Linked DNA regions of Caenorhabditis elegans. The protein of the gene in region 2 purifies or fractionates together with the protein of the main gene of each other region. This does not show direct contact. Each region holds a gene or a part of one and is shown on either strand. Other genes may lie near its edges.

Evidence for each region. Proteins that work in one complex are often made in the same cells at the same time.
Region 1: the proteins of rrf-3 (region 2) and pir-1 purify together in Caenorhabditis elegans (affinity purification with mass spectrometry, with the first as the bait; one study listed by BioGRID). This does not show direct contact.

The regions. Positions count from the first base shown.
Region 1 is NC_003280.10:9,174,589-9,180,482, reverse strand, and holds pir-1 (RNA/RNP complex-1-interacting phosphatase homolog), read right to left. Parts: upstream 3,146-5,894; 5' UTR 3,100-3,145; coding exon 3,017-3,099; intron 2,821-3,016; coding exon 2,578-2,820; intron 2,535-2,577; exon of another isoform or gene 2,528-2,534; coding exon 2,430-2,527; intron 2,375-2,429; coding exon 2,264-2,374; intron 2,217-2,263; coding exon 2,050-2,216; 3' UTR 1,850-2,049; downstream 1-1,849. Other genes in the region: RNA-binding protein sym-2, read left to right, coding at 897-1,364, 1,415-1,600; sec-5 (Exocyst complex component 2), read left to right, coding at 3,336-3,402, 3,452-3,557, 3,606-3,974, 4,019-4,214, 4,267-4,501, 4,560-4,975, 5,022-5,316, 5,380-5,477 and 1 more. UniProt on the Caenorhabditis elegans protein: RNA polyphosphatase which has RNA 5'-triphosphatase and diphosphatase activities. Displays poor protein-tyrosine phosphatase activity. Binds to 5'-triphosphorylated RNAs (also called ppp-RNAs).
Region 2 is NC_003280.10:8,160,003-8,169,270, reverse strand, and holds rrf-3 (RNA-directed RNA polymerase), read right to left. Parts: upstream 6,807-9,268; 5' UTR 6,714-6,806; coding exon 6,646-6,713; intron 6,591-6,645; coding exon 5,981-6,590; intron 5,935-5,980; coding exon 5,699-5,934; intron 5,652-5,698; coding exon 5,538-5,651; intron 5,488-5,537; coding exon 5,130-5,487; intron 5,085-5,129; coding exon 4,265-5,084; intron 4,218-4,264; coding exon 3,946-4,217; intron 3,901-3,945; coding exon 3,659-3,900; intron 3,617-3,658; coding exon 3,405-3,616; intron 3,359-3,404; coding exon 2,671-3,358; intron 2,623-2,670; coding exon 1,899-2,622; intron 1,855-1,898; coding exon 1,397-1,854; intron 1,352-1,396; coding exon 1,246-1,351; intron 1,195-1,245; coding exon 1,003-1,194; intron 957-1,002; coding exon 759-956; 3' UTR 620-758; downstream 1-619. Other genes in the region: T05C12.11 (uncharacterized protein), read left to right, coding at 44-589; emb-27 (Cell division cycle protein 16 homolog), read left to right, coding at 7,102-7,187, 7,234-7,338, 7,383-7,887, 7,934-8,333, 8,377-8,743, 8,794-9,088, 9,133-9,268.

The sequences.
Region 1 (5,894 bases), 1.0 Mb from region 2:
TTCGTGGGTTCTGGAGGTTGAGAACATCACATTTATGTTGTCAGGGGACCAGAAAATTGTGATAATATTATAGAATGGGAAACACTTTGGTGCTGGCTGGTGGCATTCTTTAATTTTCACTATAAATTTATTTTGGGGTTTTTAAGCCGAGTCATGATTGTTAAAATGAGAATTTTGATTTTTTACCTGTTTGGTCGGGCTAACCACTAAGCTCTATCATTTTTCGGTATAATTTGAATGGATATTGTTTCATGGTAAATTTAGGCAGTTTAGGCAAATAAACCGCCCCCGTCAAATAGATTGATGATGATGAAGCTGTAGCTCCGTGAGTTACAACAGGTGAGAATACAAAAGAGTATTTAAGTACTTACTGATGAATATGTTCCGATGACAAATATTCAAATGTTGAGCAGAGGTGGGGGGATGAGAAATGTGGGGCGTTAGTTAGGAATTTACGGTCTTTTATCATATATGAGTATGGAGTTGTTTGATAAAAAACTAAAGATTAAAATATCAAAATATCAAGATTTCTATATCTCCAACATGACCGAGATATAAGCTCAAAAAGTAAGAAAAAGAGGTTCACTACTTTTAGGTGAGTCTAGTAGGCAGGTACGCCTTCCTGCCTGCCTGACTGTTGCCTGTTTTCTGCATTTTTAAGTTTAAACGTTGGTGCTCAATAGTATAGACTTTCGCATTTCTAAGTGTATCATTCATAGTAACTTGGCAGAAGGCGCGAAGTCATATTGTAGGCAGGGATCAGCGACAACTCTTTCTTCCAAACTTTTTTTGTTTTCTGCGCTGAAAAAACCTACCTGACAGGTTTTAAATGAACATATGTTCAGAGAAATTTTTATAAAACTTATTTTCTAGTACACAAGTTAATGCTCTTCCAGGTGCAACATATCGTCACATTCCTTGGTGACTTTGCAACAATGGTAAAGTTCCAAGGTGTTCATATGGTATACAACAATCAAGGTCATCCATCAGGTGAAGCATTCATTCAAATGATCAATGAGCAAGCGGCTTCTGCCTGCGCTGCTGGAGTTCACAATAACTTTATGTCTGTTGGCAAAAAGAAGAGATACATCGAAGTATTCCAAGCATCTGCTGAGGAGCTTAACCTTCATCATCTGGTTGGTCAACAACATCAGGTTCCACCACCGGCTCCATTGGGTTTCATGGGGCAGCTGCCACCACAGGCACCACAACCACAACAGTTCTGGTCAAGTTACCCATCTCCACCAATTTCACCAATTGTGCCAGGGCAGGTTACCCAATTGATTATCTATGGTATCCATATGAGCATCGGAGTTCCTGAGCTGGTGGCTAATTTCACAACACCGGAACATACTGTTGATAATGTAAGTTACTCATAAGTTTCTTATAAAGCTAAAACAAAAACCAATTCCAGGTCCTATTCACACGTTGGCCAACTCATTTGTGTCCGGGAGAAGCCATTTTGACGCTCCGCAATCGTGGTGCTCCACCGCCTCAAACGAGCCCATTATCACAAATTTCTCAGTTATCTGCTCCGAACTTCGCTGCTTATTCTCACCATCCACAAAACTTCCCACTTCAACCGATTTTGATGGAATAGATCGAGTAAAGCTATCGGAATAATTAATTATCATTTAATCATGTTTTCCTAAATTTTTCTCGTTGAATTCCCGTTCACTCCCATCATAGTATTCTGTTATTTCTTGCCCTAGAGCCCTCATTTTTTGTCGCATAATTTACTGCGTCTCATCACTTCCAAACCTGTCTCTCTCTCTCACTCCAACCGTCTCTCCACATCCATCCATTCATCTTCACGTTCGCAATTTCTGTGATTTGACCAAAAGTTGACTCTTTTCCGCCCTAATTTATTGTAATTTCCTGCGAAAAAGTTGTGATTCAAAAAAAAACTGTGATTATTTTCCATGTGTTGTACTCAGAAAGAAATCTATTAATAAATAATAACAAGTTTACCCGATTTTTGTTCGGATTTACAGAACGTAACAGTTAAATGACAAGTAATATTAGAAGAACAAACAACAGTATTGGGTGTTATTGAGAATTATTTCGATGCAACTGTTCACTCGAAATTGTGGAATCGGCTGAGTTTCCGCTGCTTTTTCCGCTGCTTTTTCCGTATTTTTTCTTCCTTTCAGCTTCGTACAATGATTTTTTGTAGTGTTCCCGCTCCATTGGATGTCCACGGTAGTATTCAAACACTGAAAAATAATTATATAAAACATGTGTTATTGGATCCAAAACTTACTAGAAATCGCATCGGATGCACTATAATTATCCACGTCAATCATATACCGGCAAATAAGGTATCCTGTTCTGTTGAGCCCATGAGTGCAGTGTACGCCAATCAGTTTTCCATCTGCAAATGTAATCGAATAAAAAAATTTTAATTTTGTTCAAAAAAAATTATCTACCGTTTTCTTTATCGTTCACAAATTCCTTAACAGCATTAATGAAGTCTTGCACAAGATCTTCTCGTTCGTTCACCTCGTGACCGGGGCAATTGAGTTTCCTATAAACTTTCGATTTTTCTAAATTAAATGTTAAAAAATTCCAACTCACAAATACTTGACTCCGTGATCTGCCCATTCCGTCTTTTTATAATATCTATCCGTATTTGTGAGATCGATAACCAATCCAATTTGTTTATTAGCCTGTTGTGCCAGAGAAATCAATGTTTTTACACCAAATTGAAGCTCCACAGGCATATTTTTCCCATCGAAGAATGATGAATCTAGTGGTGTTTTGAATGGAACAAATCGAGTCCCATCGATATCACGGCCGACGTTATCGTAAATATTCCATCTGAAGAGAAAATCGATAATATTTAAACTTTGAAAGAACAAGTTTAAAGGTATGTGATGAAACTTTAAATTTTTTTAGTTTTAAAAAATTTGACACACAGAGAAACCCTTTTCAATTATTATCAAAAACTTTCTCAAGAGATTTATTTCCAATTAAGAACTATTGGGACTAATTATGGAATTAACTGTAAAAAAACCTGTCTGGGAGTCTCTTTCCTGGAAGCCTTTCATATCCGCGTGGGCGATGCTGATAATTGTGATTATGATGGTAATTAGACATGACACTGACTGAAAATATTGAGATTAAGATTGAGTGGCTCAAATTTAAAAAATTAACGATTGCTGTGCAACGAGGCTCCGGCATTCCGCTTAGCGCCTTGTTTATTGAATCAGTGTGTACTCCACTCGGACAATCTGTGGCTCATGTATTTATTTTTAATTTATTTTAAAATATTTTAATTTTATGATACTTTAACGTTGTTAATCAGATTATAATTGAATAATTTTTAAGCGTAAATGGAAGAAAACGCTCAAGCTCGGGAAAGACTACCTCCTACGGTAACAGGGCTATCGCCCACTGAAGGTGAATTTAGAAAATATGATTTCGGTCTTAAATAAACATAATTTTTCAGGAGTCCCTGGAACTCAAATAACAATAAGAGGAGAAAACTTGGGAAATGATCAGAGTGATGTGATTATGCTTTTTATATGTGGAATCGACAGTTTGTGGAGTATGAAGTGAGTATTCGAATTCTTTTAATTTACATCTCGAAGCTCAATTTTCAGATGGAAATCCCCATCAAAAATTATTGCCCGAGTTGGTGCAGCATCACGTGGTCCCGGTGAAGTACGAATAGCGACAAAATCCGGTGGAAAAGGCTCTTCGAATGTCAAATTTCGTGTCTTCATTACTCAAATCGGACCACTTGAAGAATCCGCAGTCTGGGTAGATGAAACGAGAACAGTTCCAGGAAGAGAAGCAATTCGAAGTGTTCCACAAATTCAAGATGAAAGAGATGCACTTGGATTACTTCCAAGTCAGAAACGAATGGATCAAGTTCTTCTCTCAAGAGATTTTCCTGATTGTTCTGGCAATTTAAGAATGGAAAATTTCTCTCCACAATGGTATCTTCTAGAGAATCATGCAGACGCCACGTAAGAAAGTTGTTTAATAATTTTAATTAATTTTTGGATTTCAGAATCGAAGATCTACGAATTGCTATTAAAAATATGGAATTATCAAAGCAAAATGAAGCGAAAAGAAGTGAAGAAATGCACAAAGCAAACTTGTATTCATTGATTAATTGTGTGGATACTTTGGCAAATCTTCATCAAGCGTTAGAAAAAGGAGAAAATGCTGATCATTTTGCCGCTTTAAAAAACATTTCTAAACTGGTATATAGCTGATGAAAAAAATGAAATAAACTTAATTAAAATTAAATTTCAGATCAAAGACTCCAAATCGAAAGCAGAAAATGTGTTTGCCGATGTCTTAAAACGAAAAGATGATGCAGACGCAACTAGAAATGCTCTCGGAGTCATTGTCAGATTCAAGTTCATCTTTTTCCTTTCTTCGAAAATTGAGGACAGTATGAAAAAGGGTGAATATATTACAATTCTCAATGATTATACAAGAGCAAAATCGTTGTATGCAGACACAGATGTTCCGTTGTTTAGAGAATGTACGTATTTAATTTTTCAATTTTGAAAAATAAAAAAAATGATTTGATCGATTTACAGTGATGACTGAGATCGATGAGAAAATGCAAGTATTCAAGGAAGAAATGAAACGAAAGCTTATCGATACTCCAGTCTCATATGAAGAACAAAGTAAACTTATCAAATATCTAAAAATTCTGGATCCAGAATCAGACCCTACTTGGGATTGTATAACCTCTTATTACGTCTGGCTTGAGAAAAGTCTCTGGGATATGCAGACGCAATTTTTGGAAAAAGCTAAATTAGAGGATCTTGAAAATCAGCAGAGAATCAATTCGCAGAATCACCTGATTACGAAAACCAATGAGCTACAGAACTTTGTGACAACGCTGGTTGAATTATTATTGAGCAAACTTCCCTCATTTTGGAAACTTGCCAACACATATCATAACTCAACGGCTTCTCCTGATGCCATTCAACGATTGGAGGATATTAATGTTAGTGTATTGTAAGCAGAGTTTTGAAACATTTTAATAATTTCAGCAAATGCTGACCAACATCATAAACGTCTCATCGTGGCTGATTCTGAACGCCCTGGTTCCCAAAGCTCTTCCTGATATGGTCTTGAAGCAGTACGGAGATCAATTTGCAAAGTGGCCCACAGTTCCTGCTGATATTAGTCGTTCAAATCTTCAACTCAGTCTAAAAACTACAAGATCTTTGATTTCTTCACTGCTTGAAAATCAATTCAGTCTTACTCATGTTCAACCGTTAGTTGAACTGTGTATGACTGCCAGATTGAAGTTGCTCTCCGATTTCGTAGATTGTGGAGTGGAAAGTGAGTATAACTTTTATACAATAAAGATGATAAATATTATTTTATAAAATATTTAAATTTCAGGAGTTGCTCTTCTTGCTCACCGAATCAACTGGAAGCAAGATATTCTTGACAGAGCACAACAAACAAAGACAATTCTTCCTGATTATTATGAAAATGAGGTTATTTTCCATTTAACGGAAGTTATTAAGATCTATCTATTATTGCAGATTTGCGAATGCCTTACGCGTACTCGTGATGCTCTTTCCATTTCTGGATATCCTGGAGAAGCTTGCCTTTTCTCTCGAGAACGTTTCCGTGACACAATTATTGATCTATTCGTACATCTCATCACTTCTATAAAAATATGTTTCGATCGGTTATTCATTCGACAAAGACCTCAACAATTGGCTCAAGAACCTGGACAAAAGAAAGGAAATAATGAAATAACGACGAAAAAACTTTTAATTGCCGTTGGAGATATCGAATTTATCATTGCAAAAACGCTGAATAATGTTGGCAAAAAGATGCAAGAATGTGGAGTTAAACATGTTGATCAAATTCAAGAAGTGAGAATGAAAAATTTATGCTTCACAATT
Region 2 (9,268 bases):
CTAAGACTAAACCTAAAAATGTAACCATGTTCATTAATTTCAGATTCGAACATCAAATGATACAATAACTTTCAAAGTGGACGATCAAATAATTCGACGACCATTTGATTCAACACAAAATAATATCAAAATCCTAATACCTCAAAAAGTTGCTTGCTGTTTAATTCGAGCACTTTTCCTTAATAACTCCGATCTCGATGCCTATACATCAGTTTCAACTAGATTTTTCACTTCATCAAAATCATCATACAAAAGAATTCTGGAAGTTTTTGGATCCACGTCATCTTCTCTTGTTCTGACTACAACTCCATCTACATCAACTTCTAGAACAACTACAAAAAACGACACGAATAAATGGAGTAAGTTCACACTTGGCAAGAATCCAACTGTGAGCAGTAGTACAAGTGAACCGAAAATGGAAAGTTCGTGGACTCATGCAGTGAATAAGGAATGGTCAATCACATTTGTACTTTGTTCTGTTATTGTTTGTACTATTATGCTTTTTCTTGCTGTTTTCGGAACTTTTACAGTTTTCTATCTAATGACTAAGCCAAGAGGTGGTAAATCTCCATTTGCAGTTGATGCTTGAATATGTGATTTAAAATAATATTTCTTTCCAATTTAAAAAAACCCAATAAATTTATCTGAAAATCGAACCGAGATCAAAACATTATTACACATACAAATATACTCGTCTCATCATTAAAAATTCTATAAAACAAGCAAAACATAAAACATGATATAAGTGGAAATCTATATTACAAGAACTCGTCGCGTACTTCATTCGGCACGACGTTGTTGGCAATCGCGTCCCTAATTGTCTCTCCACTGAGAAGTAAAAGTCGAGCGAGGCGTTGTCGTGCAAGAACCGTTCCAACTGATGTAACATAGATCATATCAGACTTCCGAGTTCCAGTGATTTCGCGAGGAATTATTTCTTTGACACCAGACCAATCCTGAAAGTTTTTCACTAGAAACGAAAAGTATTTTCGAACCACTTACCTTCAAAGATTGCAATATTCTACTCCTACTGATCGGATAATCATCGTTGTAGTTTCTCGAAGAGAACAATGACTCGTTAACTAGTATTGGATCCTTGCTTTCTGTAATCTGATCCACCGCATCCTCATCGTCCAAATGAAGCGCATCAAACCGTCCAGACACAGCGATGGAATGAAATGTACGATATGCAATCTGGAATATGTTTTTTGTTGATAGATCTGGAATATTAAAGATCGAGCTTACAAGATGTAAAGGCATCCATTGTGCACTTTTAGTAAGTATTGGCTCAACAATATCTTTTTCGTAGAAAACTCGAAGACTTATGCTTTCAGCTGATGCGAAAGATTGACTGAAATATTGAAAAATTTTTCCAACACTAGATTTTTAAATTTACCTTGCCAAATATCTGAGAAATTCGAGCATCATTGTTCCCATATCGAAATTTCTCAATATCGGAGCTTCATCTGCATCTTCTTTCTTCGAAATCCATTGCTGAAACATTGTTGTTGGCATCAGAAGACTTTTTTCATAATCAATAGTGGGATTTCCCAGGAGATCTCCGAGCCCTAGACGAATCAAAAGTCTTCCCAGCTGCCAAATCGACAAAACACTTGATGGGAGCACATTTTCTCGTTCAAGCCAAACTTTCAGGATGAACAACATTTTTATAATCTGATCTCCATAAAAATATACGTATCGTCTCAGGAAAAGCGCATCTTTGTGAGATTCAATCAAATCTTTCAATTTGAGAAACTTGTCAAACTGCCTTTCAATGGAGTTTTCGATCTCCTCTTCTAAACGAGCAGCAATTGGATATTTGCCTCGTAAAACTGCGTCATTTTTATCGAGCATCTGCAACAAAAAATTAATATATTTATTTCATAATTTTAACTTACTAATTGTCGCCTCAAATCACACAATGCATCCCAAGCAACCCAGGGAAGACTCTGTCCAATGCATCTTCCAGCCTTATTTATCTTTGGCTGCACATATGCCACGAAATACCATTGCCGAATCTTTTCATGCATTGCCTTCGTACATTTCAACCGAGTGTTCTTTCCATCATTCTCAATGTTGATTTCTTCTCCACCAAACTCTTCAAAGAATTTTGCACGAAATACAGCATACAATTTTTCATAACGAAGCTCAACGACCTTATCAGTGTGATAAAATGAATAGTCGTCTCTCTCCATTCCAGCTAATCTCTTGATACTTGCAGCATGTCCAGACACAACTGAAGCTTCGTCTTCAATTCCATATTCATCCAAAAGTTGTTGCATTCGATCAACGTATTCATCGCGAAGAGTCAATGTTTGTACAAGTTTTATTTCATTTCCGAAGAAAACATCAACGTCTTCTGGACAAATCAGTTTATCATATTCTCTTTCGAATACACTCCCGCGTGTTTCAAATTCTTCCAAAACTTCTTCAACTTTTCGAGCTTTTCGGTGCAATTGTCCATTTAATCGGGTACTGTAGTACATCGGTTTTCCACCTGACATCATATAATCAGGTGTCATTTCGCATTGCTCGAAACTTGACAATGGTTCCGCGGGAACTCCACTTTTCGGAAAATCTACAGCTACTGCACATTTGAGCGCGATGGCGTGACAATTTTCGCTGAAAAATAAGATATTGGCTTAACATGGATAATTTCAAGGAACATACTGGAAAAGTCCGTGAAGATCAGCATAAGCCAAATGAGCGTGACTCATTCTTCCAATTGAATCCTGTTGAAGGTATCGAAGGAAGAATTCAACCATATCATCTGTAGTAGGTTCTTTGTCTTCTTCTGCAGCTGAACTACTCGGAAAAACCATTGCTTCTTCATTATAATCGAGTAGCATTTCTTGATCCCATATTATAGAATACTCATCTCCATCCAAATCTGAACCTGCCATTTCATCGGGATGTGGTCGTGGGCCATGTTGTGGAAATACTACAACATCGACTAAATGAGCTAATGCTGGTTGCCAAACTGCGTCGAAAACTCGAACATCTCCAGGAACGTGACACGGATTTTTGGTAATCAAAACTTTGCCTGTTTTCAATATTGGACGGTTACTGGTTTGTCGGATACTTGGTGAATACTGGATGAAAACCTGTCCGTACTGTAAAAGTCCAGTCTCATCGACAACACCGTACATTGATCTTCCCAAACTTGGAGGCAAGAAAATTTTAGCTTTAGAAATGTGATGGATGATGTTGTAGCGATAAATAGAGAATAGCATATCTCGTATCAATGGATCTACACTCAATTCGAACCCGGCTCGTTTGCTTGCTGCGTTCCAGTCGATTGCCAAGTTTGTGCGATTGACTAGCTCTTCTGCTGCTTGATTTTCATTTATGAGCATATCTAAAATTAGGAGATTATGATTTGTAACCATACAGTAACTACATACTACTCAGAGAACATAGTTCTCTTTCCAAGTAATAATGAACACGATTTGTGATCCTTCTGTGAGAGCTTGCAGATTGTTTTTCCGACACTTGATCCAGGATTGTAATGAATGGACGGTTGAGACAAACTGGAGATGGCATAGCGTATTTTACTACTTCGAGGTATTCATCTTGCAGCTCTCCACCACCTTCACCAAACTTTTGCTGACTTTTTCTGAAAATTGATCATATAATTTGTTTGATAGATCATCACTACCTGAAGATAACTTTAGGCATATTTATAATATCATCGATTGTTGGATCAATAACTAGAATTCCTTTGAAACCTTTAAATCGCACTTGGAAACAAGCTGGTACTTCCTTCAATTGGAGAATCTTAGATATATGTGTTGCCAGTTTGATAGAAATTCGACCACAACCATCAGAAAAACAATATTTGTTCTCTACACCACCTTCAATGTCAGGTTCAACGATCCAGTGATGTCGTTCAAGACGTACCTGAATATTTTCGACTATATGAATATTTTTAACACTAGAATATACCGTTGGTTGTGCTTGTGTAAAGCATTGTCCCATTCGACTCATCATCTTTGGAACACTAATCGCATCTCGGAAATCTCCCATCCATACTCTAATATCTTCTACAGTTCCTGTGACTTCACCAGTTAATGCATTGACTCGAGGAGCGTATAAATAACATCCTTGATCACGCATTTGAGAATTACTCCATCCTAGAAAACTGTAGACACGATCAGCAACTTGAATTCCATTTTTGAGAGTCAAATAAATTCCTTCGGTGACAATATTCGACATGTCTGGAAACTTAGATAATATATTTAAAAATATTTAAAGAATTTCTTACGATCTATATTATTGATGGAAAAGTCGCGAATAGCGAGCCGGCCCAGATTGTCATCTCGGAACACACAACGAAGAGCATAATCAGGTCCAAATCTTCTAACAACTCGATTTACCATCATTACTTCTGGAGCCATTAGCAGTATTCGAGATGGTGTTACAATAACTTTAGCCACTGAAACACAATTCTTCGGCAATGGCTTTGCAAGGCCTACATCTTGAAGGCTTTCTCCTTTCAGAAGTCTTTCGTATTGAATCTTTCTTGATTGATACATTGTTGTGAACGCGGTAACTACATCGATTTGACGACGTTCATCAAATGCATTCAAAAGTTGTTCGAGAGTCTCTTCTGTGGCTTGAGAGCATTCTTTCATTCCCCTACGAACTAATTTCAGAAAGAGCGGCTCGTGTACTAATTCCATTGGCTTTTTCGTGTCATCAACATCATCGTCATCATCTTCATCATTGTCATTGTCTGAACTTGGAATATTTTCATCAGTTGCGTCGAAAAGTTGGTCCGTAAATACACTTCCGCGTGTGATTAGAGCCTGGAGAGCATAATTCGCTCGGAAAGATCCCAGAGAATGGAAAGCCGGGGATGGTGCAAGTTTTCGGCGAATTGAAAAAATGGAGCCGAACATCACTTTTGCTTTGCTTCGAGCAGAAAGTCTAGTAACAATATCCATCAATTGTGTAGACGATACCGAATCGTTATCATCATCTTTTCTCATTGTCAACCGGATCCAGGAGCTTTGCGAGAAAGCTTCAGAAGTACAACCGACACCTCGGCCCTCAGCATCGCCAGGCCAACTCAATACTCTTGTCTGAAAATTTACAAGTTTTTAAAAGTTATTTGCATACCATATCACCCATTCTGTGCACGTTTCCATATTGAGAACCTTCGACTTTGATGGGTGAAAAATCGTATTTTTCGGAATTCCTTCCCAGAGATGCGGTGGATTTTTCATTTGTATATAAATACTGTTCGTAGTTTCATGAGACATGTCGACAACAATTCGAACAAACAAATTATAATATAGATTAAGACGAAATCCGGCATGATCCAAACCATCATCAGCGAATTCGGCTAATCGAACTCCGAAATATACCACTGCCAGTCTTTTGTCATGCTCAAATCTCGCATACGAGAGGTATTTATTGCTTCCTGCCACTTTGAATGAACTGTTTTCACGGGATGCATCTGCATTATGGTGTGACTGAAGCTTTCTTAAAAACAAAAATCTGATTAGAAATTCTGTAGAATATGTGCAACTTACACACTACAAACTGTGTTTTCTTGACTGATGAAATCTCCTCTAACAAGGAAAAGTCCTGAATTAGGGCAGTTTCCAATCGCAATCGCAGAAATATTTATATCCATGTGTTGGGGTCTAAATTATAACTTGAGTATATAAAAAGCGGATGAGTATTCTATTACGTTATTTTTGTGAAAAGCGTATGCATTTTCGGGACTTCCAAAAATACTTGATCATGGAGCATTCCAGTTATTCTAGATGTGAAACTTGATGCGAACTCGGAGAACAATTCATTTTCATCTTCTACTTCACCGTTTGGCGTCAAAACTAAATGAGCATCGATGACGTATGATTTATCTTCGTACGCAGCTCGTGGCACCATCCCCACCTTGATCCAGTTTACCTCGTCAACTTTAGACTGAAATTAAATTGTTTCAAATACGGCCAATTAAAAAATCGCTTACCAATTTCAAGTGTGTTTTCAAAACATCTTTTATATTTTCCATGTGTGCTCGGCAATATCCAAAGCAATCATTATTCATGCTGCCAATGAGCTTAGCATCGAAATTCAGCTCAATCGCCTGTTTTTTACTAAACTGTCTCGTCTTCGCAACTGTTTCCGATTCTTCTGCAGCGGCCCATAACATCCGCACGAGTTTTTCTTGTTCTTCGATATTTACACCACCTCTGTGCTTCGTTTTCTCATAAAGAATGTGAGTTGATGGGAGAGAGTGCCGTTTTAGAACAGAACAGTCGACTGGTTTTGAAGTAGAAGGCCTTTGTGACTGTAGCAGGTAATCACGAAGATATCCACGATTCACTGGATACGAAAAATTGTTTAAATGATTTCCTGGAAAAGCCGACGATGAAGAGTGAACAGGCTGTTCTTGTACGTCAACTTCCGATTTAGATTTTGAATTTCGATCCATCCGAAACGTTGTCAATAGCATCTTGTTTGAATGCCCAATTGTTAAGGTGTTCACTGGAGTGCATTCTGTTTTTCGATTTGGTAAAGTTCCAGACGAAAAATTCGATCTACCACGTGGAAATGTTGATTGACTCTGAGGAACTCCTCTGGAAAAAAACATTGTTTCATTTGACTACCGTTTGCTCACCGAATTTCAATTACCTTGGATGCTTCGGCCTAACAGAAGTTGTAGCATCATCGCTAGAGTCATCATTATCAAACGGGAGCATTTTGTGAAAGACTTTTTGAAAATGGCATTTATTTTACGAAAAAAATGAGAAACAATTTTATTCAAAAATTTGATGATGTATGTTCGCTCCATTGACAATTAGCAACGAGACTCCGCAGTTACGGCTAAAATTTAAATTTGATCAAGCATTAAATCCTTTTTATTTTGTTTTTAAGCGCCTAGGCGCGCCTTTATGTTATTTAGTTAAAGTAGCTGTAACTACTCCGTGTAAGCTGTAAAATTATAATCTAAAAATAAGACTATAATCTCAACACTTTTTCACAACAGTTCCATTGCAATTAACGTCATTATTGAATTTCTATTTTACAATTCTTGTTGCTTAACTTAAGTTCTCTACTTACTAAACAAATATACGAAGCCTTTACAGCATGAGCGCGATCTCGCCTGATACAAAAAGTTTTGCGATTCCGACATTGGCTGATGAAGGTTCCTCAAGCAAGCCAGCATCATCTTTGTGAGTTTAATAAATAACATTTCTTTTTCAAACTACAATTTTTCAGAGATTTGCCGAAACACGAGTCTATTCGTTTCAAGCCGATTAAAACACTTGCAAGTAGAATTGATGGATCGGAGTATTATGACGAGGCGAGCATGGAGAAAGTGATGTCAGTTTGAGACCAGCATATATATTAATATGTTATATTTTTAGGGAAATGCTTGAAATCGGCAGAACCGATGAAGCTGTAGCTTACGCGGATACATTATACTCTAATATAATTGATGATGAACAGCAAGATATTGTCACCATCGCTGAATACGTAAAAATTCTCGTCGTTCTCCGTCAATGGCGGCGTATTAGCCATATTATTGCTCGTGGGAACTATCATCAGATTCACATTGTTTTTGCTTATTATGCCGCTACCGCACTTTTCCAACGGAAATTATACGAAGATGTAGCTGAATTATCGGTCGGTCATCTTCTTCCAAGTAATGGCCAAATTGGACCTCTTCCTGTTCGAACACTTTCACAAGTGACGGGGAGATATGTCGAGGAAGAAAGAATGAAGTACTCATTTGCAAATATGGCCGAATTGGATAATAGCTCTAAAAAGCTCAGAATGGTTCCAGCTCTTATGATAACCATAGCAGAAAGTTTTTTGAAATTGATGAATCGTGATGCTGCAATGATTTGTATTAATTACGCGCTGAGTCTTGTAAGTCATCTTTTATACATGATTTGACCGTGTTTTATTATTTCAGGATAATACAACTCTCCATGTCGAACGATTAATGGCAAAATACAATCTGGTTGAGCCTGCGATGTGGGAGAAGTACAGAAAAGTCAGAAATGAACAGCTGAAGTTACACGAAGGAAATCATGATCCACGAATTCTTATGGAACGTGCTCAACGTGCCTACGAGATGGGTCGATTTCGAGAAACAAAAAAAATCACTGACGAGCTATTTGATCTATTTGGACCACATCCTGAGTGCATTATTCTTCGTATTCACTGCCTAACAATGTTAAAGGATTCTCGATCTCTGCTTGAATTAGGTCATCAACTAGTTAGTGATGATCCTCATATTCCACTTCCATGGTATTGTGTTGCTATGTATTATTATAGTATTGGAGCAAACTCAAGAGCTCGAAATTTCATCAGTATGTTTCCCATTTCATTGAGGTTTAAATAGAGCTTCTTTAGGTAAATGCACGATGATGGATTCGACGTTTGCTGAAGGATGGGTGGCTTTTGGTCATATTCTTCACTATGAAGTTGAACACGAACAGTCCATGAGTTGCTATTACAGAGCGTCGAAACTTGTGGATAAAAGTTCTGAACCGTTCTTGTACACTTCTCTTCAGTACAGTACGCATAGTCAGAAGCTGAGCAAGAAGTTCATGGGAGAAGCAGTTGCTCGGGCACCGAATGACCCTCTGATTCGTCACGAAGAAGCTTGTGTAGCCTATACTGCAAAAAGTTACGCGGAAGCCGATATTTTATTCAGAACTGTTTTGTATATGGTTACAGAGACCGATGAAATCATTCCAATTGAAGAAGTCTTGAAAAAGTAAGTATCTAATTCGATGATTATTTGAGAGAAAAATAACATTTTTTCAGGAAAATCGACGACTTTTGGCACCCAATGCTCAATAACATTGGCCACATAGCCAGACGGCAAGGAAGGCTGAATGAAGCAATCATGTTTTATCAAAAAGCTATCCGAATGGAGCCAAAGTTTGTAGATGCCATTGCATCAACTGCTCTCTGTTACGCAGTTCTCGGCAACATTGATAAAGCAACTGAATTCTTCAATAAAGCTCTTGCGATCGATCCATTTAATGAAACAATCCGTCAATGTCTGTCAAAAATGATTCAAGCGTCAAAAGAAAGTTATTCTGTTGATCAACAAACGGTAAATATACTATATCTTATGTTATCTAGGTTTTTTGTTTTCAGCTCCCGCCCGCATACAACTCTGAAACATACTTCGGTGCACAAGAAATTCTTCCGTACTGTGCAATAAGAAAACCACGAAATGATGGATTCGTTGTTCCGTCCATCGTATCGTCAAGCCAACCATTTATGTCGATGC